4 linked regions of the Struthio camelus genome follow. The protein of the gene in region 3 purifies or fractionates together with the protein of the main gene of each other region. This does not show direct contact. Links are inferred from orthologs where the notes say so. Each region holds a gene or a part of one and is shown on either strand. Other genes may lie near its edges.

Evidence for each region.
Region 1: the proteins of EP300 (region 3) and EWSR1 purify together in Homo sapiens (affinity purification with mass spectrometry; 3 studies listed by BioGRID and IntAct, with this or other methods). This does not show direct contact. The link is inferred for Struthio camelus from reciprocal best matches to the Homo sapiens genes EP300 and EWSR1.
Region 2: the proteins of EP300 (region 3) and DDX5 purify together in Homo sapiens (affinity purification with western blotting; 5 studies listed by BioGRID and IntAct, with this or other methods). This does not show direct contact. The link is inferred for Struthio camelus from reciprocal best matches to the Homo sapiens genes EP300 and DDX5.
Region 4: the proteins of EP300 (region 3) and STRAP purify together in Homo sapiens (affinity purification with mass spectrometry; 3 studies listed by BioGRID, with this or other methods). This does not show direct contact. The link is inferred for Struthio camelus from reciprocal best matches to the Homo sapiens genes EP300 and STRAP.

The regions. Positions count from the first base shown.
Region 1 is NC_090958.1:5,247,532-5,254,807, reverse strand, and holds the start of EWSR1 (RNA-binding protein EWS), read left to right. Parts: upstream 1-4,256; 5' UTR 4,257-4,355; coding exon 4,356-4,368; intron 4,369-7,276. Other genes in the region: EMID1 (EMI domain-containing protein 1), read left to right, coding at 2,633-2,757. UniProt on the Homo sapiens protein: Binds to ssRNA containing the consensus sequence 5'-AGGUAA-3'. Might normally function as a transcriptional repressor. EWS-fusion-proteins (EFPS) may play a role in the tumorigenic process.
Region 2 is NC_090960.1:4,672,155-4,679,017, reverse strand, and holds the start of DDX5 (probable ATP-dependent RNA helicase DDX5), read right to left. Parts: upstream 3,021-6,863; 5' UTR 2,787-3,020; coding exon 2,755-2,786; intron 1,246-2,754; coding exon 1,080-1,245; intron 940-1,079; coding exon 843-939; intron 757-842; coding exon 623-756; intron 492-622; coding exon 426-491; intron 1-425. Other genes in the region: CEP95 (centrosomal protein of 95 kDa), read left to right, coding at 6,260-6,281. UniProt on the Homo sapiens protein: Involved in the alternative regulation of pre-mRNA splicing; its RNA helicase activity is necessary for increasing tau exon 10 inclusion and occurs in a RBM4-dependent manner. Binds to the tau pre-mRNA in the stem-loop region downstream of exon 10.
Region 3 is NC_090942.1:57,018,534-57,025,823, reverse strand, and holds the start of EP300 (histone acetyltransferase p300), read left to right. Parts: upstream 1-4,283; 5' UTR 4,284-5,082; coding exon 5,083-5,176; intron 5,177-7,290. UniProt on the Homo sapiens protein: Functions as a histone acetyltransferase and regulates transcription via chromatin remodeling. Acetylates all four core histones in nucleosomes. Histone acetylation gives an epigenetic tag for transcriptional activation.
Region 4 is NC_090942.1:71,984,250-71,991,816, reverse strand, and holds the start of STRAP (serine-threonine kinase receptor-associated protein), read right to left. Parts: upstream 3,019-7,567; 5' UTR 3,004-3,018; coding exon 2,205-3,003; intron 988-2,204; coding exon 852-987; intron 23-851; coding exon 1-22. UniProt on the Homo sapiens protein: The SMN complex catalyzes the assembly of small nuclear ribonucleoproteins (snRNPs), the building blocks of the spliceosome, and thereby plays an important role in the splicing of cellular pre-mRNAs.

The sequences.
Region 1 (7,276 bases), on a different chromosome or scaffold from region 3:
CCCCGCTGCCGGCTGCTCCCGGGCGGGCAGTCGCCGCCGTCCCCCTGCCCCGTCCCCGGCAGCAGGTCGCAGGTGGAGCGCGCCAGGCCCTGATGACATCGCATCGGCGCGCTGATGTCACGGGGCTGCGGGGAGGCGTCCCTCAGCCCTGTGCTCCCCTCCCCTTCTCCGTGGGGGGGAACCGGCACAACGGAGCGTCTCCCCCCTCCGCAGCATATGACATCATCACACGTGTGACATCATCACACGTGTTAGGACATCACATCACGGCACTGGGACCCGCTCGTAGGGCGAGGATACCTTCTGGTGGCAGAGGGCCTCCGGGCACCCCGGGGTCCCTCCCCTGCACCGCCGGGTGCAGAGATGCCCGTGACAGTCTCCGTGTTGGGGACAAGCTGGTAGCACCAGGGCAGGTTGGGGACACGTCCCCCCCGCGTGTCTGGCACTGCACAGGGGTCAGCGTATGATGGGGCAGGAGAGCGGGGGGAGCCCCAGCGCCCACTGGGGCTGCAAGGTGCTGGGCACCCATTGAGCTCCCGTGTCCCCACGAGCCCAGGCGGGGACGGCCACGTCCTGTGCCCGCTGCCCTGGGTTGGGGCACCACCAAGGAGCCACCGCCGGGGACATCGGGGCAGCTTCAGCTGCCCCAGGGTCAGAGCAAGGGAGCCCCTGGCACCCCTGGGATCAGGGGAGCCCCCTGCACCCCCCTGGGACCACGGGAGCACCTAGCACTCCTGGCACCAGGGGACCCGCAGCACCTGCTGGCACCAGGGGATTCCTGGCACCCCCCTGCCTGGGAGCACCCCGGCGAGCCCCCGGCACCCTCCCAGCACCCACCTGGGAGACCTGGCACCCCCCGACCCACGCACCAGCACCCCTCTCAGCCCCTGAGGGCTGCTGCTGCTGTGCCCGCTGCCGGCCCGGCTGCGCCCGTGCTGTGCCGCCCGCGCCCGCTGCTGCGCCTGCGGGGCGAACGCGCTCTCTGCTCTGCTCTCTCACTCTCCACCAGGCCAGTAGCTTCCAAACCCTCCTGCGGCAGCAGGCCCGGCTGGAGATCCTGGCTAGAAGGGTCACCTTGCTGGAAGCCATCATCTGGCCAGGTAACAGCGCCGCTTTCCGTCTCCCCTCCTCGCATGAGCTGGGCTCGCCGCGTCCCCCTGGGAGCTTGGGCTGCCTGGCGCAAGGGAGGCCGGAGCCCCTCGGACCACGTCCCTGGAGCTCACCGGGAGTAAGGGAGCCTCCAGAGCCCCTCTCGGAGCAAGTGAGACCATGGAGACCTTCAATCCAAGAGGCCAAGTGAGACCCTGGAGCTTCCCAAGGACTAAGGGAGGCCCTGGAGCTCCTCTCAAAACAAGGGTGACCCTGGAGACCTCCTGGATCAAGGGAGACCTTGGAGCTCCCCAAGGACTAAAGGAGGCCCTGGAGCTCCTCTTGAACGAAGGAAGACCAGGGGGACCCTCTCAGATCAAGGGAGACCTTGGAGCCCCTTGGACCAAGGGAGCCCTTGGAGAATCTCTTGAACCAAGTGAGACCATGGAGACCTCTTGGATCGAGGGAGACCCTGGAGCTCCCCGAGGACCAAGGGAACCTCTGGAGCCCCTCTCAAACCAAAGGGGACCAGGGGGACCCTCTTGGATTGAAGGAGACCCCAGAGACTCCCCTGGGACCAGGGGAGCCCCCGGTGCCCGGCCCCGCTCGGTGCCAGGGTGCCAGCTGTGTGCTGGCGGGTGCCCCCCTCTGCCTTTCTCTTCTCTCCGCCTCCACTTTCCAGCTCTGCTTTTTTGCGGGGAGGGGGCTCTTTTCTTTCCGCATGCCAGGCGGGGGGTGCCAGCCGGGTGCCAGGCAGGGGTGCCAGGCAGGGGTGCCAGCTGGGCATGGCAGCTACCATGAGCCGGGTCCCAAAACGACTCTCCTTGTCCCCCCCGCCACCCACCTGCTGGGCCGGTCACCCCGGAGCGAAGCCCACCGCGGGCGCGGGGCTCTGGTGCCAGGCGGGCTGGTGGCCGTCCCGTGTCCCTGTGAGCGGGGCTGTGCCTGGCCTGGGGGCAGCTCACCCGCCGGGGGGCCGGGGACATCGCCGGCGGGGGCACCGCGGGGCGCCTGGCACGCGCCCGCAGCGCCGTGGGGGACAAAGCCAGCCCCGGCGTCGTGTGCCCCCTGCCCTGCTCCGTGCGTGGGGACTCGCTCGTCCCCAGCGCGGTGCCAGGCTGACACGGAGGGCGGCCGGGCTCCTGGTGCTCAGCACCCGCGAGGCGATGAGGAGAAACCCCGGCGAGCTCGGCGGCCCCCATCCAGCCCCCTGGACCACGGGCCTGGCCCGCGGTGGCAGGCGATGGGCCGGGGGGGGACCAGAGACCCGGGGCGATGGGCACAGGGGGACCAGAGACCCGGGGCGATGGGCACAGCTGCCCTGGCATCCCATCTCACCCCAGCACGGCCCAAAAACCTCACGATGGGGAGGGGGTCCAGCCGACCCCCTGGCCCGGCCGTCGTGGCTGCGCGGCCGGTGGCGGGGGGGGGCGGGGGGGTGCGACAGAGCCCGTTCCCGGGGTGCCAGGGGGTCCCGCGGGGGGTCAGGGCTTGCACCTGCGCCGGACCGCCGCCTCACGCCTCTCTCCTCTCTCCTCCGCAGAACCGGAGCCTGGCTCGGGCAGCGGCCCCGGGGGTCCTGCGGCGCCCGGCTCCCCCCGCCACAAGCGCAGCCGCCCGCCCACCTACCGCATCGTGGCCCGCGAGCCCCCCGCTGGCGCCCAGTGACGGCCCCCAGCGACGGCCCCCAGCGACGGCGGGCCCGTACCGGCAGGGAGGCGTCGGGCTCCGGCGGGCGCCCTGCAGCCCGCCCCGTCTCGTCCTGCGCCCCGCCGCCCGGCAGGGCGTTTTGGTGCTAGCCGGCGGGACGCTGCCGCCCCGCGGTCCCCCTCCCCGGCCCGTGTCCCCGTGCCCCCCGCTGCCCCCCCGCGCGCTTCAGCCCAGCCGCTTTGGGAACGACCCGCGTCGCCAGGTCATTAAACGCCTCCCTGAAGCCCGTGTCCGGCGCAGTCCGTGCGCGTGTCCCCCCCCGGGGGCCGGCCCCCCCCCGGGAAGAGCTGAACACCGGGCACCCCCCGGCTGAGAGCCCCCGGTACCAGCCTCAAAACCCCCCCGGTACCGGCCTCAAAACCCCCCCGGTACCGGCCTCACAGACCCCCCTGGTACCGGCCTCGCCGCCCCCCGGGTACCAGCCTCACAGTCCCCCCCGGTACCGGCCTCACTGCCCCCCCCAGTACCGGCCTCGCCGCCCCCCCTGGTACCAGCCTCACAGACCCCCCTGGTACCGGCCTCGCCACCCCCCCCCGTACCGGCCTCGCAGCCCCCCCGGTACCGGCCTCACAGACCCCCCCCAGTACCGGCCTCACTGCCCCCCCCCCAGTACCGGCCTCGCCGCCCCCCCCCGGTACCAGCCTCACAGACCCCCCTGGTACCGGCCTCGCTGCCCCCCCAGTACCTGCCGGTGCAGCCACATGGCCACAGCCGCCGGGGGCAGGGGGTGGCCGCGGCCCCCATCGGGGCGCCCGCCCCGGTACCGGCACCCCGGGGTGCCCCCGGCTCCCGCCACACTCGTGGGGGAGGCAATGGGTGGGGGTTGCGTGCCCCAGGGGCAGGCGGGGGGGAAGGGGGGTCGGGGGGCCCCACGGGGGGGCATCCTGCCCACGCGTGGCCCCAGGCCTAGCCTGAGCCGGGCCCCCTTCCCCACTGCGTGACGTTGTGCCTGATCTGTGGCCTCAAAGGATGACGTCACGCCGTGCGACAGGTGACCTCACGCGCAATGCCACGCGGCAGCTGCTCCGCCTGTGGCAGCTGCGCCGTGACATCCCCCCGCCACCCCCCAACACCGCGCGTGACGCCGCGCGATGACGCCACGCCGCGGCCTCGCTTGCTGGCGCCCGCTACGTGACGTCAGGCGGTGGTGACGCCTGGCCGCCGCGTGACGTCAGGCGGCGGCGCCGGCAGCGCCGCGGCCCCGCGCTGCGCCCCGCGGCCGAGGCGCCTCTTGCGCGACGCTCCCCAGCCGCGGCGGGCCGAACCACTGCTCCGGCCGGGAGGGGGGGCGCGCGGGGCAGCGCGAGGACAGCGGCGTCCCCAGCGGCGCCCGCCGGCCCGGAGGCCGGTACCGGCTTTCGGCCACACCGAGACAGAGCCCGGATCCCGGCGGCGGGGCAGCTGCCCCTCGCCGCGGCGGCCGCCGGGCCGCTCCCCCCCTCCCCGCGCGGGCGCCTTGGTGCGGCCCGCGGTGGGAGGGGCGGCGCCTGCGCGGCGCGGGGCGGCGGCGGCTGCAGCAGCCGGACGTTGGGAGCGCCGAGGAGGAAGGCGAGAAAATGGCGTCGACGGGTGAGCGGAACCGGGCCGGGCCGCGGGGCCTCCCCCTTCCCCCGCCCCGCCGCGAGCCCGAGCCGCGCCGTTCCCGGGCCGCCGCCGCCTCCGCGCCGGGGCGGCCCCGCCGGGCAGCGGCGCGTGTCCGGGCCCGCCGGCTCCCGCCGCCGCTTCGGTGCCGTTGAGGCGCGTTTGAGCGCTCGGCGCGCCGGGGACACAATGGCGGCGCCGGCGCGGTCCCGCCCGGCGGAGCTGGGGGCCGCCGCGGCCTGAGCCGCGCGCTCGGGCCCGGGGGTCGCGGCGGGCGGGGCGAGCCCGGCCTTGAGTTCAACCCCGCGGCCGAGGCCTGGCCGGGCTCGCCCCGCGCCGCCGGCCCCTTCGGTTCGGTTCGGTTGGCCGCGGCCGGGCCGAGCTTCCCCCCAGCAGCCCGTGGCGCGCAGGGGTCCTCGCTGCTGTCAGTGGTGACTCATCAGAAAGCCGTAACTCTCCGGGGCTTCGCTCTGATGGGAATACTTTGATTTTTTTTTTTTGGTCAGTTTATTTTAAAAAAAAAAAAAAAGCTTATGATAGCGTATTGCTAGAGCTTCCACCCTAGAAAAAGCGCAGTAAGATGCTTTGGCTCACGCCCTTCCAAAAAATCGCTCTCTTTATTGAAGGTTTCCCCCATGCCTTCGTTTTTTTGGGTTTTTTTTTCCCTAAGGGCTATTCAAGGCTGTTTGTTGGTGCCACTGTGATTCCTTTGAAGGAAATCAGTGAAGCGTTGTGGAGGAAAACATAACTTTCACGTGAGGGCCGCAAATGGGTGTAAATAGGTCAGCATTCAGACTTATCAACGGTGGCGGCATCATGTTTAATGTAGAGTTAAAGCCCGATGCAGAAGATTGGATCGTCCCACAGGAGAAAATGTCATATACCAAGGAGTGTAAAGGAGAATGACTAATATCGCTTTGGAGAGCAGGGGAAAAAAGTTACTAAAGAAACATGTGCCGTAGCATTGTCAAAATGGGGTTTAAAAATACAGCTGTCTTTCCGCTTAATAAATGGAAATGTTCATTTGTGGGAGCTACTATTTTAAGGCTGCGCTATTGTGCTCCTGAGCCTCGTGAAATATAAGTATGAGGATTAATTTCCCATTGGAAATAAGGGCTCGGAGATATTTTTAAAAAATTAACCATAATATTTTTTTTGAACGCTTTGCACCAATCTGTGTTCTAGCAAATTGGAAGAGAAGAAGACAAATTGCAAATTAAACTTACTCACCTGGATTTAAATCTAGCTAAGGGAGGAATGGAGTATCTCGGTATGCCTGCGTGAAGGCTGTAAAAGGGGATATGAGTGTGCGAAGGAGGCTTTGACTGGCGACTGTGTGCATAGCTGAAGATCCAAGCCCGGGGTGGTGGTAGGTTGCCGGTGGTCAGTGGGCCAGGGGTGAAGGCTGGGGAGATGGGTGCCCGGCAGTCAGCCCTGCTGGAGGGGATGAAGCTGGAGCTATAGATGTGAACAGCCTGAAGGATGACAGCAGCCCAGAGTGGAGCAGGAAATGGGAATTCAATGAGAGCTAGGGAGGTTTTGACGGATGGGGGAGCGAAGAGGAGGTGAGGTTGGGAAAAGAGGGGGGAGTGAGGACGTTGTACAGCAAGATGCAGGAAAGAATGGAGGAGCGCTGAGAGATAGGAGGAGGCAGTGAGAGATGGAAGAAGCTCAACTGGATGAGGGGGAATTGGTGATGGTATTTAATGCTCCACATTTTGCGGAGCTGGTAGTCACGCGTAGACTGAAAAAAGAGGCAAGGCCCTGAGTTTAGCAAGCTGGACTTTTAAAATCTTAAACCTGACAACATATAAGGAAAGCGGGAGTAGTGCTGAAACAGTCTAACAACGTATGTGGCGCATTTCAGGATTTTGGAAGCCTTTGAGTAGCAGCTGAGCATCTTTTTATTGTGTTTTGACCAGTGTGCAGTGGTTTACATCTGTCAAAAACTACTACCAAAGTTATGGCATCTCCTTTCTTAATACGTTTCCATCAACACATGCCCTAGAGCCTGAGCTCCAGCCTCAATAGAGAGAAGTGAAAGGGAGGAAAAGCCGTATGTTCACGCAGAAGGGTTAGGAAGAAGAGTGGAAAGCTGTATTATGGACGAGTCTGTGGCCTCAAGAAACGGGAACCTTTGGTGCATGAAGGTGTATGACAGCAGAAAACTATTCAAAATGTTTTCTCGTGCTTTGTCAACTTCAGTTGCAAACAGCTGGAGTCATAATGGGATTAAGGCACTCTCTATAATCTGAGGATAACTGATGTCTGTAGAGTCTTCAGCCAGATTCCTTAAATTCATGCGCTTCAGGTTTTTACCAAAGATTAGCTTACCCTAAGTACTATGGCAGCAGAAACACCTAAACCTCTTTCTGTTTGGCTCTGTATAAGAAAAGGTATAATAGCATTTTGTTTCTGTCTGCTTCCAGTTCAGTCAAGTGCAGTGGCCCAAGTGGCAAATTGGAAGTCGGAACTCTTTCCTGATCTCCCTACTCTGCTGATGGGCCTCTTCTGATTCTGGAAGAGTTTGAATTTGTCTGGGAAGGTTTGGGCTAAGCGATGAACTCGTCGCTACCGTTTGCTCTAGACGTTTGGGAGGAAACTGAAATGCTTTGCAATATGAGGGAAAGCGTACATTTAGGAGCTGTAATCATTTCAAATATAGCCTTGTAATTGCCATGCTGGATGCATTTTCCATCCCTTGCAGCTAACTGGTTAAGTGTAGATTTTTTTGCTTGCGTTTTCTGAATTTCAGTTTTCCTCTGAATCAGGCTGTTGCCATAGATCAGGGCTTTGGGGAAGGAATTATTGCCAGCTGCCTGTCTTGAACTTTGATATGGGGAGAGTGTTAGAACTTTCCAGCAATTTGTTTTTGTCCTTGAAAGTTAAATAGAAA
Region 2 (6,863 bases), on a different chromosome or scaffold from region 3:
GACTGGAAAGATCATTGTATACAACTATGCTATCACCAGAACACAAGTAAAATGGATTTATCTGAACAGACAGAACAAGAAAGCTAAGGAAACCAGTATCTCAACTACCACCAGACACTCGCCCATGCTGTGTGGTTAGGTCACGTATTTGGAAGCCACCAGTTTCCAGGGGATGTTTATTTCCAAAACAGGACATCTAGTCCTGTTCTGGAGGATTTTGAAGTAAAATAAATAAATCTGAGCTTATGGAACAATCTTGGGAGACTACTACTACTGAAACATAAAATCACTGATCTGTGACGAGAAATACAATGTTGCTATGGTATATGAAAGCACTTTGTACTCACATAAGCGTGGACAAAACGGACTGTAACAAATCCGCATTCTTTTAAAATTAAGAACCCCTTTCATTTAGGAATACTCACTATAGGTCCATCTCCTCGCTCTAGGAATGGTTGATGATTTATATGCACAATGGCAGGCAACAAGTACTGTTTGAAAAGGGAGGGGAAAAAAAAGTCTCATTACAGTCTCTTCCCAGAGGTGTTCAGACTGCATTAAGCCAGGCAAAACTGTCACTGCTGAATTTCAGCAGTATTCCAAGTTACAAACAAGAACTTACAGACAGTGTTTTCCCTGATCCAGTCTGCGCTACTCCAACCATATCCAGTCCACTCAAGGCAACGGGCCATCCTTGTGCTTGAATAGCAGTTGGTTCAGTGAAGTTCTGCCTCTGAATCACTTCCATAACATTTGCTTGAAGAGAAAATTAGAACTTATTAACTTAAGTTTTTCCAGGCTTGATTAAGATGAAGTCTATGAGTACCCTATTGTGCACTTACCAGGAAAGTTAGCTTCATAGAAGTTTATAATTGGTTTTGGACAGTTATGGCCCCTAACTGTGACTTCTTTGCTTGATCTGTACTGTTCAACCTCTTGCTGCAAGACAAAAACCCCATAGTTAGAAATAAGCTTTGATACCAAAGTTATCCTATAAGTTACCTCATCCTTGTCCCATGACCCTCAGCATGTTTGTACTTTATTTATTTACTTTCACACAAGTTGGATAGGGTACATACCACAGTACGTCTAACTACATCAGGATGTTCTTGATAGAAGTTCTTTTCAAATTTGGGCAGCTCATCTAAATTCCATTTCTTTTTCGTAAGCTTCTCCCCAGGGTTTCCAAATTTCTTTCCAGACAGAGGTCCACCTCTACTTCCTCCAAAACGGGGGGCTCCAAACCTAGAGAAGAATACACCATAATACAAAACCTGAGAGTAACTCTCTTTCATATACAACTTGATCATTATCCTTACAACCAAACATGCAACTTGACAATTCAGTTTCATAAGTCTCACATACATCATAATAAAACTCCAAAAACATACCAAGCTGCAGATGCCATGATCTGCCTAGTTATAACTCATGCTCAGAAACTAAGGTAACACATTACCTTGCAGTTTCCACAAAATGAAACCGAGACTTATTAACAACCTACAAAACAGCAAGAACATTAAAACACCTGCACAACCCCCACGATCAAAATAGTTTCCCACACGAGCGACACTCCCCTTGTGTGTCAGCCTGCAGAAAGCAAGCAGAGGCAGTTACAAAAGCTCGGCACAACTTCCCCGTAAACGGTTGTTTTGGTATCCCAAAGGGCTGGCTCCTCTCAGTAACGACGTTCTCACGAGGCCACGCGTTTTACGCGTTATCCCCTTTCGTTCAGAAGGGGTTCGTCTCAGAAGCCTACCCTGACGGATCTAAGCGAAGCGAACCCGCGCCCCGAGGACCACCACCCCGGACCCGAGCGGGGCGCTCCCTCCCCCGCCCCGACTGCACCCCACTCCTGGCTGGGCAGGCGCTGGGAGCGATCCTCCCCAACACAACACAGCGCTCCCAGAGGGGACCCGGCTGAGTGGCCGCTGCTTCCTGCCAGCGCTGTTTCCTTTGTCTCTCATTTCTGTCTACGCCACATTTTCCAGCCGCTGCCATTTTAGAGTCTGAGCTGGGCGGGGGGAGGAGGAGGAGGAACAAAGGCAGCAGCAGCAGCCGGCATTTTGATTTCCCCTCAGTCACCGCATGGCGGGGCCGGCCATTAACATCCGCTTACACAACACAAAGCGGGAGCCGGCCGGCTTCTGCCAGCAACAGCCAGAGCCGGCGAAGGGGGGAAGGGAGAGAAGGGACCCGCCCTACCGAGAGCTCCCCCAAGGCTTCTCCGGCATCGACGAAGCGCCCGGCCAACCCACTGACCCACAAACCTCCAGCCAGCCCGCCACTGCTCAGTCCGCCCCCGCGGCCGAGGCGGGGGGTTGGCAGGGGGGTGTGGAAGGACAGGAATCGAGCTCTGCAAGGGCCATCCGTACTCAGGGGGGTGTCCCGAGAGAGGGCTCGATCCCCCTTCCCCCGCCCGCACCCCTAACAAGCGGCCAGGGGCTGCGCGGAGGCGGACGGACTCAGCCCCCGCCCTGGATTACGCGGCCGCCCACACGCGGTGGCTGCCCTTGGCGGCGCCGAAAGGGCCTAAAGGCGTTTCCCCCCTCCCCCCCCCCCCGGCTCTCGTCACGAAACTCCGGAGTTCTGAAGACGGCAAGAGCTGAGAAGAAGGGCTCCAGGGCCCAACCCCCACGCCTCGCCGCCATTTTAGACGGCTTAAAAAAAAAAAAAAGCAGCAGTCAAAACCCCCATAGGCGGTTTAAGAGTCCGGACGCTGGCGGCGGCTGGCGCCAGCCGGGCCCCCGGACTCACCCTCTATCCCTGTCGCTGGAATACCCGGGCATGGCGATGGAAGCGATGGTGGCGAGACGGTTCCGGTCACTAAAGAGGGTGACGAAAGGTACGGCGAGATCCGACGCCGATGGTGGGGGCCACTGAATGTAGAGCGCCCCGCTGCCCGGATGCCGGTTATATAAGGGGTGCCGCGGAGGCTGCTGGGAGCCGGTTGGTGACGCAGGCGCAGAACCCGCCCCTTGTTTTATGTAAGCGGCCCGAGCTGGCCGGAGCCTCCGGCCCCTCCCCTTGTGGGCGTGGCCGCGGCTCGGCCGACTGACCGGCTTCTGCGCGCGCGGGCGGAAGTCCCCCTCCCCTTGTGGGCGTGGCCTCTGTGTCGTCACTGCCCGGCAGCGGCGGCGGCAGCGGGAGTGTCTGCCCCTCCCAGTGCCCACGCAGAGAAGGGCGCGAGCCGCCGCGCTTGCGCAGTAGCGGGGGGCCGCGGCCTAGCGGCGCCCGCCCGACCCGCGGCAGGGGCCCGGAGCTGCTTTGGCCCGACAGGAAGCGCGATCCCCTCCTCCCCCCCCCCCAGATGTTTTACCTATGGACAGCTAGTACATCTGACACCGTAAGACATCAGTAAGTGGCTAAGTAGTGACCTTCCTCTGCACATGCACAGGACTGGACCGAGCCATAAAGGAGTTTTTATCTCTGGGGACTAAAAGCAGTATTTCAGCCACAGGCATTCCCAGGATTTCAAATAGACTGAAGGGGTTGGATGCACGGGTCCTCTCGAAGTTAACCCGCTGGCCACAAATAATTAGAACAGCAGATAGATAAAATACTGCTTAAGCAGTAATTTTAGATTGTTATCCATTGCCTGGGCACTTTCATTAATATTAAAATCCATGTGATTGGAAACAGGTGCTATTTTTATCTTTTCAAATTCCACACCAGGTCTAGTAAAGCAAATTAAAGGTCACGAGGAGTGCACCAGTGCACCAAAGGACACTGCTGTTTGGAAAGCACAGGTGTAATAAATGTCAAACACCTGAAGTTACTAGGGTTGCTTATCTACCCTGCTTTGTTAGCTTGAGGAATAACTTGAATGTCTTGCTACCTGTGGCTTTAAGCACATACAAGATGAGGCTTGACACATAAACATAAGCACTGTATTGCCAGACCATCTCTTTCAGGCAGCGGCCAATAGCAAACAAAAACAACGTAAGGAAAAAACGCTGTAACAACACCCTGCCTTTATAGGCTACTCCCACCTTCTAGCAATTTGTGGTTTAAGACTTTTCGGAAACAAAAATAACGTAACTGTTTTTGACAGTTATGTTTCACATTTTTCCTCTCTTTATGCTCTTATCTTCTAAAGCATTCTGTAACAATCAGTTTCACAATTTAATTATACACTACCTGAGAAGTACTTCCCTTTGTTTTCAACATATTGACTGGTAAGAACAAGGGAGGACTAGCAAAGTGAATTGTCAGAAATGGTAAATAATAATTTCCTATCCACCTTATCTATACCCTTTCGGGACATTAATCTCAGTTACTCCTTTTCCAAGTCAGAGGTGCAATCTAATTATTTCTCCTTTAAAAGCAATTCTGCACTTTGGATAATCCTTGCCACTTTATTGACAAGAAACCCACATAGAATTCAAAATCTGGGCCCCCATATAGATTTACATAATGAAAGCATGATGGTGTTTTTGTTTTGTCTTGTATTATTTCCTAATGATTGTTTTTCATTTTTTGATTGCTGCTAAGATTGGAGCAAGGTTTTAAAGGAACAGTAGTAGATGATTCCATGACTGACCCTCAAAAGCAACACCTAAGCTAGGCCTATCTTTTTTTTTTTAGGTATAGCTACAGCTGTTTCTTCCTCATACATGTTACTTTTTACGTAAATCCACACAATTTCACCTAAAGAAACATAGCCCTCAGAACCTCTCATAGTCTCCATGCCAGCTGCACACATTTAGACTGCAAGTAACTTCAGTTTCCTCTTTGGGGGGAAAAAAACTTCCTCATTTTTCTTTCATCCTTTTACGTTAAACATGTTGTTTATTTTCCTCTGTTCCCGTCTTTCTTTGAGCCAATACATGCAACGTAAAAGAGGCTTGCAGAGCTGTGTATGTATGAAACTGAAATCCATGTTTCAGTATTAATAGTATTGACATCCGTTTTTATATACCCAAAAGCTCTTTTGTTTTTATCAGATTAACTGGTATAAACGTGCGTTAAGATTATGTATCTACCAATTATCTGTCCTTGGACCGTTAAAGCCATCATTACCCCTGGTGTTTACTTGCCTACCCTTGTTCTTACAGTCATCACTGAGATCTCAGCTGCTTCTACGTACTCCAGGAGTTTAAGGCACCATTATTTCTAGTTTTGCAAGACCTGGGGCAACATGGAAACTCCAGAATCCCTAAGCAGCGCTGTACACATGTGCTTTGTAAGGAAGAAAATACATTTTCACCATCAAAGGCCTCTAGAATCTTGTAAACTAGCAGCTAATTGTACAGTACATTTCACAGGACGAAACCTTCTAAGTCATAATTCTAATAAAGGTTCTGGCACTCCTAACATCCAGGAAAGTCATCAAATTACCTGCCATCTCCCAAGCAGACCTACACCACCTGCTAATTTAAACCAAACTCCCCAACTGTACAAACTGTACACTAACCCTTCTAACGTAACCACCACCTCCACCTTTTAGCAAACAACCCCGAGGCCGGCCCTGCAAGGTCAAGAGCTAGAATTTTCCCCTGCTCCACCCCGCCTGCCATAGCCGGCCCTCCTTCCTCATTCTGTGAAAATCGGGGGGGGGGGGGAAGAAATCACCTCACTTCAGGGTGATTAAGGGCGGAACCGCTTCAACAAACCCTCCCCAACCGCCCGCGGAACCGAGCCCGAGTTAAAAGCAGTTTTTTTTTATTACACCGCCATTTTACGCCGCCAGCCTGCCTCGCCGACCGAGGCGCTCCCCCGACGCGGCCCGGCGTCCTTCACCCGCCGCCCGCGACGACGCTGAGGGAAGGAAGCGGCGGCGGCTCCTCGCGCCGGAGCAGCGCCCCCTCCCCCTTCGCGCCGCGGGCTCCACGCATGCGCGAACGCGCGGGCCGCAGACACCCCCACCCCCGCCAGCGCCTCGCCACCAACAGCCCCGCGCGCCAGGAAGGAAGCGGCACGGGGCGGGGGGAAGGGGGGGAAGCAAGGTCCGGGCCACGTGATCCTCGATGCGGCGTCGCTTTGAGGCCCAGGCGCCTCACCCCCTCCCCGTCTCCACGGCAACCAGCGGCTAGGCAACCCGCAACGGCAACGCCAACGGAGGCGGGCCCGGGGCGGACCATTCCCAGCTGCAGCCAATCGCGACGGCCTTCAGCGGGAGACCCCGCCTCTTCCTGCACAGACGGCCCAATCAACGCGCGGGACACAGAGAGGGGCTATTTAAATTACCCGGGGCGGGGCAGTGGCCCTGGTCCGTTAGGGTGCGTGAGGTGCTGTCACCGGGCGCTCGCGCGACCGCGCCATGGGCAGCTCTGAGGAGACAGGTAGGGGGGCCAGAGAAGGGAGCTCCTGAGGAGATCGCCCTTCTCTGACCCGTGGGGCGCCTCTCCCCGGTCCCTGCCCTCGCCCTGCCCTGCCCTGCCCTGCCCTACCCTACCCGCCGCTGGGCTAGGTCGTGGCGCGTCCCCACCAGCCCGAGGGGCCTCCCTAGTGGTGGGGCGGGCGAGGGTGCCGGAGAGGTGGCCGACCTTCGTGCTCTACAGGTGGGAGCTGGGTGAGAAGTAGCCTTTTCACCTCCCTTTGGTCTCTTTTCTGCTGCTCGCTAATCGCCTCCACTTTATTCATGCTTATTTTCCCTTACGATTTCCCTTTTTGTTTTGTGACTTTTTATGCTTTTTATTGTCCCTTCCCTCCTTTTTCTTTAGTGATTCTTTTAAGCTGGAAATAAAGGGTAACCTTAAGTTTTCTAGAACCTGTCAGCCTGAACTGTAGAAGATATTACTTTAATGTTTTGTGCACCTGAAAACAAAGTGTGAGGGTAAGGTGTCTCTTGGAACAGAGTGAAGGGGTGATAGATGGAAATGTAATTCCTCTGTGTACACAAGGAAAACAGCGGGACACGGTAG
Region 3 (7,290 bases):
TACAACTTTCAGAAACTACCAGCTAAGGCCAAATGAGATCCCATGATAAAAGTTCAAGGCCTTGCATTCCTCCTCTTATTGCTTTCCTGAGCCGATTCTCATTTTAATCAGACTTACGGTACTTTCATCCAGTTATCTCAAAGTACATAACAGCCACTATAATTACTGGCAATAATGAGCTAATTAATTCTTCTCAGTGCAATTTTCAAGGGATAAATGCTACCTTTCTCAGGGCAAGGATGGAGAAACTGAGGCAAGGAGGAGATGTTGGGTTTGCCTTCTTTTTAACTGTTCAGTCCTTTCCTGCTTGTTCATATAGGCATATGTATTTGCTTCTTAGTGTGCTTTATGTTTTATTATGATTTTCCAGTAACAATGCATGTTATTATTTTGACAGGGAGCACTTAGAAGCAGCTGGTTGTGTGCATATGTATTGAGGTTCATTAAAGAAGACCTCAGTGTATTTAGCAAAAATCAATAGGTGCTGAAATCTTTTTCCTGTTTTTTCCTTGACCCTCTCTTCCTAGGTTTTCCTTTTTTTTTTCCTCCTTTTCTCTTTAGAGTGGCTTTCTTTCTCAGAAACCGCAAGTAGCATCTCATCCTGCTACTTTTTAATTTATATTCCTCATATTTCAGCTTACGTTTAAGTCTCTAATGTGGAAAGCCAACTGAATATGACTTCCTGATATATAAAGAATTAAGGTATTCTTCTGGTCGTGGAACTAGTAAGGCAGATGTATTGTATTAATATATCAGTTAATTACTTACATTCATAGCTCATATTAAGGATATAGATGTTGTTTGGGTAGCATTCAGCAAAGGGTGTGTGTTTTCCACGGTTCAGATAGGCTAGATGCTACCTTCACTGAACTCACTCCAAGGATAAATAGATAGATAGCCAGAGCAGAAGGGAAGGTGCACAAAAAAGGTTTTATTTTGTTTTTCTTTTTCAGCTTTCACTGTTACTTAGCTAAACAACTAACTGATCCACATGATACCCTCTGGAGTAACAACTCACTACTCAGTCCTTTAACTTTTATTTCTCAGGTTGTGATCCTGCAAGCACACATGTGCTTGGTTTTACTATGGTGAGTAGTACAGTGAGATTTCAGTGGAACTATGTGCTAAATAAAACTAAGCACACATGCAACTATTGGTAGGATCAAGTCTCTAGATAGGAACTAGTGTCACAAAACTTTTATTTGAAACATCTGCTTTGCTCCAAGCTTGTTGTTTAGTAAGGACCAGACTTTTAAAAGTATTTAGGTGTTTATGTGCACCTTGGTGTCTTTATAAAGCTGGCACTAATTCCTTATTGAAGTACGCATTAAGGGCCTCTAGAGAGTCTGAAAACCTTATATAGACTGATTTGAGTCAACTTTTAATTCTAAGGAGACTTTAAAAACAGTTAAAATTAATCTCAGCTGTGTTTAAAAAAAAAAGCGCTTCGCAAGCAAGGGAAAGAGTCAATCTGGCGAAATAAATTGAGGTAATACAAGACTTCTGTAACTCTGAAATATTTCTGAGAGCGTTAGTAGCCATAACAGGTGGAAAACCTGTGAGAACCGTGCGTAGTTTCTAAGGTGAGGCTGTTACTTAGTCGTTCTTGCAAGGCACCCTCCAGCTCTCTTCTCAAACGGACAGATTTGCGCCCCTGCCTATGTCTCCGAGACTTTTCGCCGAGGAGAAGACACGCAGAACCTTTCGGAGCAGCTTGAGCGTAACCCGCTTCGCGTTTTTTCCCCTTTTGTGCCGGGGGGGAAGACAACAACCACAACCACCTTGCCCGAAATAAAGCCGAAACAAGGGAAACTCAAGCGTGGGAGTGAGTATGTGCGCGGGAAGCTGGTGGGTAACTGTTAGAGGGCTGCGAATCTCTACTCCTTCCTTCTCGCCCTCTCCTCTCCTGTGGTGTTTATGCTGTTGCTTGTAATAGGCTCTTGCCCAAACACCTGGTACAGGTCTTACAGGCAGAATGGCAGAAAACTCAATTCTGAGTGTGGGTGGTAAGAAAAAAAAAAAAAGGGGGGGAGAGGGGGAAGGACTGAGCACTCCCTGCCTTAAAGGCCTCCCGAATCTTGCACAGCGAGGAACAAGACGAGGGGATAAAACAACCTCTAACCTCCTCCCCAGTTCGTGTATTTTAGGAAAAAAAAAAAACACAAAAATCGCAAAAAAGAAGTCAGCGTTCGGGAGGCGAAGGGGAATCGGTTCGCAGGAGCTGATGCGCAGGGCGCTGGTTCCTCCCAAACGGCCCACCCCGCTCACATGAAATCGCGGTTTTTCCCATTAAAAACATAGGCAGGCCTGCCTCCCCTTCCCGTTCTTGTCGCAGAAGGGTGTAAAACCGGGGCGGGGGGGGGGGGAAGCCCAAACACCCCCCCCAAACAAAAAAAAAGGCTAGGAAGGGGTATTTCCTCGCTAATGATGGCTGATGAGGGCTTAAAGACTTGAGAAACTCCTGGCCAGCCCGTAATCCCCACTAAGCTCTAAAATGGCTCGGCGACGGTTATCGAGGAGCGCGTCAACGTTACCTACCACTGCCCACAGCCCAGGAGCGGCCTCGCACCGAGCCCCAGGGGAGCCGGCGCCCTTTCAGGCCGCTCCTTCACCCCCCCCCACCCCCCGTTTCCTTTCATCTAGGCATCGCTTTTGGCCAGAAACTCCGGTTTTATGTGATGTTGACGTAGCTCCGGTCACTGGGGGGGGGAGGGGGGAAGTTTATTGAAAAAGGGAGAACAGGTATCTTGGGGATTCACTGCTCGCCAGGCCCCTTTTTTGCGGGGCAGACTCGGCGAGAAGAGGCCTGGCAGGGCCGCCCTGCCACAGCCGGCCGGCCTGCCCCGAGCCGCCGCCGCCGCCGCCGCGCACTTTTTGGCCGACACAAAACAGGGGCGGGGGAAGGAGGAAGATAGAAGAAGCTTCCTCCTTCCTTCCTCCCCCCCTTCCCTTAACGCGTTGCCTTTAAGGGGCGGAGTGAAGGGAGTTTGCGGAAGCGCCCGGCGAATAGCGGGCGCTGATAGGCTGGCCGCGGTCTCGTGACGGGCCGCCGCCGCTCCGGGGTTCCCCCTCCCTCCCGCAGCACGCAAGCCCCCCGCGTTCCATTGTGTGCGCCAGCGCCGCCGGGCCCCGCCCCCAAGCCTGGCCCCGCCCCCTTTTCTCTCTCTCCCTCCCCCCCCCCTTTGGCTCATTTCCGGCCGCCGCCACCGCTGCTCGCTTCCCCTCTGAGGACTCGGGAGAGTGAAGAAACAACAGCCGCCATTTTGTTTGTGTGTGAGCGACTGAGGGAGGGAGCGAGAGACCGAGCCGGACGGGGCGAGCCAGGGGGAGGGCAGCGCAGAGAGACCCAGGGGCCCGGCCAGGGGACGGGGAGAGAAGAGAGAAGCTGAGACGCCCGCCCGGCCTCCCCCCCCCCTCCGCTAGCCTGCCCCTCCTCTCTCTTTATCTCTTTTTCTTTCCTCCCCCCTCCTTTTTTTTTTTTTATTTTTTAAGATTTCTTTCCCCTTTCCTCTCTGCCTTTCCTTCTCCCTTGCGCCCCCCGCTTCTGCCCGCCCCGCCGCACACGCCACAGGAGCGGCCGCCGCCGAGCGCCAGGCAGGGGCAGTAGGGAGCCTGCGCTCGGCCCCCGCGCTCCCAGCGCCGTCCCGCCCCAGCCCCCCCCCCCCGCCGCCGGGGAGCGCCGAGGACCCCCTCCCCCTCCCGGGGCGAGCCCCCCGCCCTCCCCCAGCCCCGGTTTTCTTTTATTATTTTAATTTTAATCTCTCTCTCTCGCTGACCGGCTTCTTCCCCCTCTCTTCCCCGCCCTCCTCCCCCCCCCTCACCTACCAAGCTCTTCGCTTCCTTCCCCACCCTCGCAGCGGCCGGGAGGGAGTCCCCGCCGCGCCCCGGCAGCGGACGAGGCTTTTTCGCCCTCGCTTTTGCGCCCGCCGCCCCCTGCCTCCGCGGCAGCCCCCTCCCTGCCCGGAGCCAGCGCTCGCCACCATCCTCAGGCACCCGGGAGGGGGGAAGGTAGGCAGAGGGGGGGGAGGGGCCGGCTGCTGCTCCTGCTGCCTCCTCCTCCTCCTCCTCCTGCTCCTGCCGCCGCTGTTGCTGCTGCTGTGGGATCGGCCCCCTCTGCCTGCGCTGGAGGGGGGGGCACCCTGCTACTGAGAGCGAGAGAAAGAGGAAGGGGAAAGAAGAGAAGAAGGGAGGGGGGGCAGAGAGGGTGTTGAAACCCGCCCCCCACCTTCCCATCCCGCGATCGGTGCTGCCTCCATCAGGACAACAACCCCGCCTTCTTCCCTGCACAACAAGATGTGAAGCGGAGACTCCTGGGACTTATCCTCACCCTCCTCATCCTTACAGCTCCCCTTTCTGCAGCCATTAGTGACTGGCGAGGAAGAAGCGAGGGGAGCTGGGGACCCCGCGCACGCTCGGCCTCTTTCGCCTCCTCCTCCCCCCCAGCCCTGTCGCTGGCGGTGGGTATTTTTTTGCAGGGTGGTGTTGGAGGGGGAAGGAGCCGCTGCTAGAGGACGGTGATCTTTTTTTCTTTTTTCCTCCTCCTCTCCCCTCCTTCGCCCGCCTCCTTGTGGCGATGAGGAGGAGGAGGACGGCGCCGAGGAGGAAGAGGCTGATGACGGCGGTGAGGAGGCAGCAAGAGGAGGAGACCCCCCGAAGGATGAAGATGATGATGGTGGCGGCGGCGCGGAAGCAACAGCAGCACAACAGCCGGGATTAATTTTACTAAAAACCCACCAGCCTCTTTCTCCCCCCCCCCTCCTTTTTTTCTTTTTTTTTTTTTTTTGGCGGGGGCTTTACCAGCTCTTCCCATCTTCGCTCTGCCCTTTCGCCTGGGGGAAGAGGCCTCTTCCCCTCGCTGCTCCCCACCTTCTCCCCGCTTCTCCGCTGCCGCCCTCCCGGAGCCCGAGCCCGAGGGGCAGAAAAAGGGGAACTTGGCCCCCTCCTCCGGCAGATCCTTCTCGCTCGCTCTCGTCGTTATTGTTGTTCTTCAGCTGACTCGGGGCCTGGGAAGAAGGTGAAGGTTTTGCCCCCCCCCTCCCCCGGTCTCTTTACTCTGAGTGATTGTCTAAAAAAGAATTAAAAATGGCCGAGAATGTGGTGGAGCCGGGCCCGCCTTCAGCCAAGCGGCCTAAACTCTCCTCACCGGCGCTCTCCGTGTCCGCCAGCGACGGCACAGGTCAGTCTCGGGGGCCCGGGCTCTCAGCCTCTTGGTGCCACAAATTACTGCCCTTTTCTCTCCTCTCTTGCCTAAATCGCCTCCTCCCTTTTGCTTCTTTAACTTGTTCCTTCCTTTCTCCTCTCTGTCTGTGATTTCTCCCTTTTTCTTTCTTTTTGCTCTTATTTGTGTTAATGCCGTAGGAGGAGGGTGTTCGGCTATTTCAGCCCTTTTATTTTTTGGAAGTGATTGAAAGCAAAGCTGTTCAGTTTATTGTGCTTTTGATCAGTCACAGATAAGAATTAACAGTTTGTCATTTTCTTGTCTTTCATAATAGTAATTATTTCAGAGCTCCTCGTTAAGCATATGCATTTAATTCCAGTTGCAGAAATATGAAATATTGCTTACAATGATGCTTTTGTACACTTTATTGTCGATTTCTGTGTGTATGTTTGCATATACACACACACACAAATACATGCCTGTTTCTTATTTTATTTTGCCTGTATGTACGGTGTTTTTATAACTCGTTTAGAAACATGAGATTTATTTCTCTATTCTTTTTCTTTTACCCTCTTAACAGGCACTCCGGTTATTTGATTTACTTTTTACAATCCTTCTTACTCTTCCTTGCACAAGGATTTCTAAAAAAAAAAAAAAAAAACCTGTTTTTTATTTCAAATAGACTATCGATTTAAGGAAAAAAACAACAACTAAAAACAAAATCCAGATTGCAAGTTTGGGGCTTAAGGCTTATCAAGAGCCTTAGCATTGTAGAAACAAAATATTATTTCACCTTATTTGCATTAAGAACCAATATGGAGTGCAATTCATTCTGCATCTCCCATTTCTTTGCTGCGAGAGCAAAATGTCTGAAATTCCCCTGTAGACTTATGGGTTGGGAAGATAAAGGGGCTTCTCTGCAATCCTGCAAAGATCTTTGGTGATGTTTTAGTAGGGAGGAATAATCTGCTCTGTGGAAACTCCAGAGTTGCTGTGGAGTCAAGCTAGAGGCTGGAAGTCTCCGGTGTCCCCATCCCTAGCAAACATGAACTGGTTGTACTGGGAAGGGAGAGGGAGGTAACAAAGGGCTGCTCTGCTTTTTAATGCTTCTTGTGAAGCAGATGAGCATTTAGTGTCATTTTGCTCTGAAAGTACTTGGTTACCTATCCCACAGGAGTTTCCTTAAACTCACTTTAGATCATCTTAGCCTATGGGAGTTGGAGGAGGCTGCCTTCTGCAGAATCTGATGAGAGATGGCGTTCCTGGTGCCACCAGTCTTAGTCACTGCAGTTAGATCTGTGAAGAAAAGGAAGAGTTAAAAAAAAAAAAAGCTGATCGTTTGACAGTAAACAGGAGGTTTAAATACCCAGTTTTTGGCTCAGCACGGGGTGTGATTCCAGTTTGAATCATCTTAAAAATTTTGATTTTTGCCTTCTCTTTATTCTTGGTGAATGACACATTAGTTTTAAAAAAAAAAAAGTTTATGTGTAACTTTCAGAGCATTTTAGTTATAGGCAGTTTTGTGTTGTAACTGGAGCAGATGACTAGTCTTGATATCAACAGGTCTCTGGTAAGAGAGTAGGAGAGGGTTGGAGGAGCTCTTCAGCTACAGCTAGTTGTGGAGGTTTTTTTACACTAGACTTGGAAAGCAGTACTTAATTCAGTAGTAATCGTTTTCATTCTTTCTCTTGACAGGGTTGGCCTTGCTCTGTGTAGGTGGCTAAATAAAAGATGGGTTTTGTGAGAGAAGCCCTGATGCTTGAAAGTAGGAAAGTTGGAGGGTTGTTAGATGAATACAAGTATCAAAGTTAAGGCATTTGCGATCAGATAAGATTTGTGTAAAGTGGATTTATTTCAGTGTAAGAGGTGCAGATTTTCTCAGAATATTTAGTTTCTTTTAATTGTTAGTCTACTGGACAGTTTAATTGGCGATCTTTTTATATTTATGGTGAAACACACTAGGGATTATTGGACAAATTCAAAGGAATTCAGATATGACATTGTAGTGTGCAAAACGGGATACATTTTTTTGAAGTTGTTGAGATTGTCATCACCTGCTGGCTATCCAGAGGTTTTTAATGGTGCAAATATTTCATGTATGTTACAAAGAACTGTTGAAGGGTTCTCATTCT
Region 4 (7,567 bases), about 15 Mb from region 3:
TGACACAGCATCCCATACTTTGCTAAATGACAAGAGAAAACATTTAAATTTTGTAGCACTGAGACAAATCAACCTGGAAGTCAGATCAGCTTGTAAACAACTTTGTCCTAAGTACTACATTCTGATAAGTAATAACCCAGTTAGCCAGTAAGAATACTTTATATGCTTTTATTAATGTTTTTTTTGCACTATCCTGCTATTTTAATTTCCCCTCTTCAAGATAATGCAGAATTATTATTATTTCAGTTTTACAGATAAACAAGTGCAGCTGTCCTCTGTGACTTCATATAAAGTGCCCTCTACTAACAGGATTCGAATTACCAAACGTTAATACACACTACAGACAGTAAAGAAAATAAATAAATAAATTTCTGCAATAGTTTTCTAGAATTCTTGATATATTCTTAAACCTTGAAATGGTGGCTATTATGAATTCTACGATGCTATGAAAACGTTGGTATCACTGAGCTTATTTGCCCCAGCTATAAGCAACAGAAAACAAGTAATAAAAAGTGATAACTAGGAGGAGCAAAACAAAAATCACTCTTTCAACTCTGATTTTAGCACTCTACCATGCTAAAGATTAGAGCTGGAAATAAAACGTTATTCCGGCAGACTACTATGGTAATTAAGTGTTGTGATCAAGAAGCAATCAAAGTTATCCAAAAAAAATTAACTGTAGCTATACTTTCAACAGTCTAGAGTTCTAGATCTTAATTTAGCTATTCATAAACGAGCTTAATAATTTACTGAACAGATATATCAATAACTTATAACAACTATGTCACTAAAAATATCATTGACTGAAAAATCAAAACAGAGTGAGACTTCAAAAGCAGATAATCACTTACGCTGTAAAATCAGCTGCTGCTGTAGCTGCTTTAGTGGCATCCTTGTTCAAAGTAGCACCCCAAACAGCACCTTTATGACCTAGAAACGTTCCAATCCAGTCTCCTGTGTCGCCCTGACGTAGCATAGGCTTACCATCTTCACAGAAACAAAACCAATATTCAGATAATGTTATCAAACAAAACGATACTACCTTTAAGAAGACTCCTTTACACCAACATGGAATAAAAAAGAAATTGCCACCAGACATCTCCCTTCAGGGAAATAGCATGTATTTTTATGATGCTATTTTTTGAAAAAGAGTTTAGCTAAAGAGCTTAGATATGCAGCCGCACCTACCATGAACATCTAGAATTCTATACAGACCTTAAAATACTATTGCAAAGTAAATATAAAACTTCTTTGGGTTTTCAAGGAAGAAAAGGGATAAAGAAGGAGAAAGGAGCATTTAGCTTTGGTTTTACTCCAGTTTTCCTCTACAGGCAGAAGAGCTCTTTTGTTTTTAGAAAAAAATTTTCAGACTAGCATTGCCCAAAAAGGAGTCTTATGTTTATATGTTCAAAATATAGAGAGAAAATGAAATGGAATTAGAAAATCTTTCTTATGGTTATTTTTTTCTGGGAGGCTATAAAAAAAAGTTGCACCCAGGAGAAGAAATAAATCTGACTAGGAAGCACTCCAACGCTGGGAGGGAGATCATGAATACATACATAGATTAATATTCACATGTATGAAGTCAAAATACTATTCTCATAATGAGCAGAGGAAAGTTCTCATGCTAAAGGAAAGTGGCATCACCATTCTACATCCACCCTGACAGCCACCGTGATTTAAAAAAAGAAACTTCAATTTAAGATGTACAATACACGTGTGCAGAAGGTAAAAACAGGCTAGTTCGGAAACAAAATTTTGTAAGAAGTTTCACTTTTTTTTTTCTTTTTTTTTTTTTTTTAATTTTTACAGTTTCGACCCGAACCGAATAAACTCTCAAAGCGCACAGGTTAAACTGGCAACGCCACTGCCAGCTGTCAAGGCTCTTTCTCACTCGATAACGCTGAAACCGGGTATTATCGTGAGACCGCCAGCGTCTCGCTAGGTGACCCGGGCACCCCAGCCCGACCATCCGCCGCTAATACCGGCCGCTCGGCTCACCTAAGGCGGCCTCCTGCCCGCGCTCCCGCTTCCCTAAGTAGCGCCCCCCCACCACCACCAACACACACACCCACCCCTTCCAGGGGCGAGGGACCACCCCCACCTCACCTGCCCGCCGCCGAGGATGAACAAAGGGGCCGCCGCCGCCCCTGGCGGCGCTCCCCGCCGCCCCCGCTCCCACCCTCGCCCCCGCCGGGCCTCACCCTTGCAGGCGCTGATGAGGAAGTAGCCGTAAGGGGTGATGCCGCTGAAGGCCAGGTCCACCACGGGCCGCGTGTGCCCCGAGCACGTCAGCGGGGTCTGCCTCATCGCCATGGCTGCGGCGGCGGCGGCGGTTGGGGGCGCGGAGCGGCGGTTGGGGGCGCGGGCGGCTGGAAAGGTGGGTGGGGGCGGGGCGCGCGCGCGCAGGGACACGAGCCCCCTCCGGCCGGGCAGGAAACGGCGACCGGGGCGGCGGGGGAAATGACGCAGCGGAAACGCTTCAGGCCGGAAACTACGTCGGCGGGCGGGTGCGGAGCCGGAAGCGGCAGTGCGGGGGGCGGGCGGCGGTCCGTTGCGCAGGCGCGGCGAGCCCGCCCTGAGGGGAGGGGGGCTGCCTGCGGCCTTTATCCCCTTACAGTTACTCCTCTGTGCCGCCGCTGGTGCTCCTCCGCTCCGCTCGGGCTCCTGCAGCAGCAGCAAATCAACGCTGCCAAAAAGAAACGCAGTGTTTTGCGGTTGGTCTCGATCCCAGCACGGCCGGCTGCAGGGCCGCGTAGGCCTTGCGTGCAGAGGAAGAGGTGGGGAGACGCGGAAAATGGGGAGCCCAGAATACCCCGCAGCGCCCGTCTGGCCTTGCATAAAATGCAAGGCGGCCACGCTGATGGGATTGTTTCCCCAAGAAGCGTCTGAAGATGTTACCTGAAGCTGAAGGAGCCTGCCAGCCTTATCTGAAAACACTCTGTCAACAGACTGAAAACTTAGACTAGTACGGCACTGTACCCCTTCTTGACAGGAGCGCATAGGCTGTCATTCATCTCCCTTTTTAAGTGTTAAAACTGGGAGTAACGTTTAAATTGTCAGCAGGTAGGTGAAGCTGACATAACTCCAGTCTTCTGCTGTTTCTCTTTAAAGGATAGGGAGCGTGTTTCATTTTCTGACCTCCTGATGTTTCAGCTCAGGATAGGCACTGCATTTTGCTTTCTGACCTCCTGATGTTTCAACTTTCCTGAGTTCTCACAAGGAATTGCTAATAAGCCACATTCTGCCTAGAGCAGCATATTTAAATGTACTTTTTAACTTACTTTATTTACTTACTTTTTTTTTACTTCATTTACTGTAAGCAAAAAGCTTACAGGGCTCTTGAATATTAAAATTTTGAGTAGCTAAATTTCATTTAATTAGGTTTTTCAAAGGCTAATATAAATGTAGAAGTATGTCTCCTAGTTAGCTATTCTGCTTGGATTTATATTTTAAAAAACACTGTTCTGGTAACTTACTATATAAATTTTTCAGTGAAGGGGTTAGCCAACTGTCAGTAAAGATACAAAAGAACATTAAGAAAACACTTACCTACTTAAAACTCAGTATTGAGGATCCTGACATGTGCTTAGGGCAGTTTCTTTTTAATAATTTTGTTGCTTGGATTAATTTAGTCTTCTGTAAAATTGGAGTGTGTTTTTTGTCCTACACAAAGCAACAGTATGATATCCAGGTAGAGAGATACTTGTAAGAGACAGATAAGGCAAAAATGTTTGCAGTTCGATGAAGGCAGATGCAAATCAAAAAAGGAGATAAACAATTGAGATGTGAAACCAATAATATCCAATCTGAACTGAAAATCTTACTAGACCCAACAAACCTATGACTACATTCTTAAAATCCTAAAAACAGAAAATTAGTTAATACTATGTGTGAAGTTTTCCATACGCTGCAGGAACGTGAACATTCTAGTAGGGAACATGATGGGTGTCACTAAAGCCAAATCCCTAAACAGGGATTTTTGACACCTAATGCAGGACTTAGGCAGAACTTAGGCACCATGCTGTTAACTGCTGTTTCATTCTGAGGAAATTTTGTTTTATCGGATAGAAACCTGTATATTGATTGTATGCTATCAACTACTGCTCAGTTTTATAAAAGTTATAAATCAGTTGGTCCATGCACTTAGTATAAACACGTAGATGATCACATAAGCACTGATCCCACATGGTGCCTGTATTTACAGTACCTAATTACAGCATTAGGTACTTGATTGATTCCCAGGTAAACCACAGCCTTGTGCTTCCCTATAGGTCCCAACCACACTCTTTTGCCTTCTTTCCAACCACTGGATGCTCTATACTGTACCAGATAGTGGCTTCCAGAAAGTAACTGGCTTTTGCCTTCCACACTGAAGATATTTCCATTCCTACTACAGTAAAAATACAGCTTGCATTTTATAGTTTCATTTCCTTCTAAGGATTTCAAATTTTCATGTAATCAAAAAACTAGAGAGTTGTATACAAACTTCAGAGTGCTGTGCAGCTGCTATTAGATATGATATTGACATTGTTTAGCTGTTTAGACCAGCAAGTGGACAAAACTACTAAAACACAGGGAGCTTAAATAAGCAAAAAATAAATTATCAATATGGTTAAAGTGGGAGAGACATCAACATAAGGAAAACTATCAAAAACGTGAAACATGGCCACATAGCTGGACAAGATCTATACCTTAAAGATCTCAGGTATGGGAATTTCCTTGTCTCTTAACCTTTAGAGTCCAGATTTAATAGTGATATAGAAGGATATTACTTTTAAAGGTACAGTTGTGGGAAGCACCTTTATTATCTCTGGGAAACATGATTAAGGACATATGGAAATAATAGTGAAAAGAAAGGTATTTACATGTTTTCTTAAATCAAGACTTTAATACCTAGACCTAATAATACCCGTAGCATAATAATTAAAAATCTCCAGAGTTTACCCTAGGCCTAACTCAGGTTATACCTTGCATGGCATACTTTAGTAAGCGAGTTTATTCAGCAGCGGTCTCGCACTTTTTCCTTCCTGTCTTCCAGGGTACATTCTGTATCTCTATCCCAATTCCAATACAGAATTTTTTATACCACATTTCTCAAGCTGAGCATGAGGAGGGGAAAATACTACCACGGATCGTGTTTGGATTTGAGGAAGGAGAAACATACTGCCATGGTGCCACTGCAACTGGAATGAGAGAATGTGTCCAGGAGGAAGCGTTTCAAGCAGGAACAGGAGCAAAGTGAGAAGGGAAAAGGCAGAATATGCTCTGAGCAGGAACAAGAGGAAATGCTGAACCAATCCAGCACTGTTGGAGGCTCTTGCTGAGGAAAAATATCCTAATTTAGTCATGCCTATCAGCTGTGCTTTCTCTGCTTGTGCTTGGAGCGGTCATTTTCCTCTGACGGAGCCTGACAGCCTTTGGCCTTAGCTATATTCGCTTTGGCTTCACCCCCACCATTGCCTTCCTCTTAGCTACCTAGTAAAATCCCTATTTAGATGTGCTTATTCCCCTCAGTTTGAAAATCTTTAATTTAGAGATGCACTAATTCTGTACACCCAAGCGAGACTACTTCTACTAAGGAGATGGTTAGAGAAGCTGGGAACTGTGAAACAGTCATTCAGTTTTTCAAAAAAGAATAGAGAAAAAGAAGCAAAGGTAGGAGAAGGAGTTACTTACTAATGAAAGAAAGCCTAGCAAGCAGGAAATAAAAATATTGAGGGTTTTTGATTTTTTTCAGCCAAGGGGATTATATATCGAATAGTGTTACAAAGCAAAAAAAAAAAAAATTGCAAAAAAATTTTTATTCAAAGTTTCATGTTTATTTATCTATTTATTATCCAAATAACTGTCTTGGGGAGTTATCTAAAGTAAATATTCATCAACCCCAACTTCATTCAGGAAGTAATCAGGATCTTGTAATTATACAGATTAATCCCCATTACTGAACAGAATAACAAGTATGTCAGTCATAGATTATAAAGCACCTGGGCAAAACTCGCTTTCACTTATCATTTATAATTCAGAGTGTCTGCTTGATTAAACAACATCTTTCCACAGCCAGTGATTGAATTTTCTCAGAAATTGTTACTGAACATGAATAAAGCTATCCTAGTGAAAGGTCACGATTCTAGTGCTTTGATTAAAATGAGTCACGCAGAGATTGAATTAAGTAGAGAGTGTTTAGTATACATATTTACATTTCAGAGATGTCTTCCGCCCATGCTAGACACTGTTGTTGAAAATGTCTTCTCTTGCCACTAAGTGGAGCTCCTTACATATCTATTAGTGTATTAGCAATTCTGGATGGTAGTGAGATGACATGTTGATGCTTATTTCAGCTTCTGTGTAGCCACTTTGTTGACACAGTACTAAGGAAGTTACTAGATGCTTAGTTCTCTGAAATGAATTGTGCTAAACAGGGAAATGGAAATTTACCTGTGCCACTAGAGAAGGCAACAGGGCAGCCATTTGTTAGAGGACTTTGAATCTAAGCTATTCTAATATATTGCAGATTTAAAACATTCATTTTGATCTGTAGGCATCTTTATCTCTGTTAACAAAGTTTTTCTTTGGAGAAATATACCTTAGTAATTTGTACAGCTAATTTATGGCGAAAAAAAAGGATTTACTCTTTGTGGAAGGATACTGCGTTACGGATGCTGTGTGCAGATATGAGAGCAATTGCAGAGCCTGTCGCTGTGTTTTCACTGGGGGGATAATTAAAATTGAGTGCCAGCCTTGAGCAGTCAATTATCACTGAGTAACCAGATGAAAGATAAAGAGCAGATGTAATCATATTTCACAAGTAATGGAACAGTGTGTGTTTGAAGTCAAGTAGTCCTGCCTATTATCAGTCTTTCACAGCAGGTGGCCATACGGTTTCTAGTTTCGTATAAGTTCTTTTAACATAGGTCTAGGGAAGGTGAGGGCTGGGCCACAGAAGCTCTTCTGTTGGGTGTGCATGATAGTATACTTGTGTGTGTGAGGAGAGGGAAATGGGATTAGACCTGGAAATGGGCTGTAGAGGTACTGGGAAGAGCGTGAAGAGGAATTTGAGGCAGCAGCAAGAGAAGATAAATGACAGAGGTTTAGCAGGAAAGCTGGATAGGAGGAGGAATGGGAGGTTTAGCTCTGAGTCCAATTATATGCCTCATAGTGGGATTTGTACCTTTTTTCCTTTCCCTGACAGGTGAGGTCAGATGTAAGATCACTTTAATCATCACCTGCATGTCAGCATCCCAAGAAGATTTACTCTTCCGGGAAGACTTTTGTCCCTAATCCGTGCACGTCTACCTGCAAGTTAAACCCTAGGAGCCTTTCCCTCTGACTGGAGGGCAGGGATCAGGCGTGTTCAGAGCATGCACCAACTGTAAAGGGACAAAACCAATGAGGAAAATGAAAAATTGTTTATCTTTGCTGTAACATCTTCTCTCGTACTCAGTCTTCTATTTCCATTTCTCCTTTTGAAAGGAAAAAGTTGTCAGTGCTGGGCAGATAGGGAGGAGACCAATAAAGCAGCAAGTGGTTTCACCGAAAAGCTGAACCACTGCAAAGCCAAGGGAGC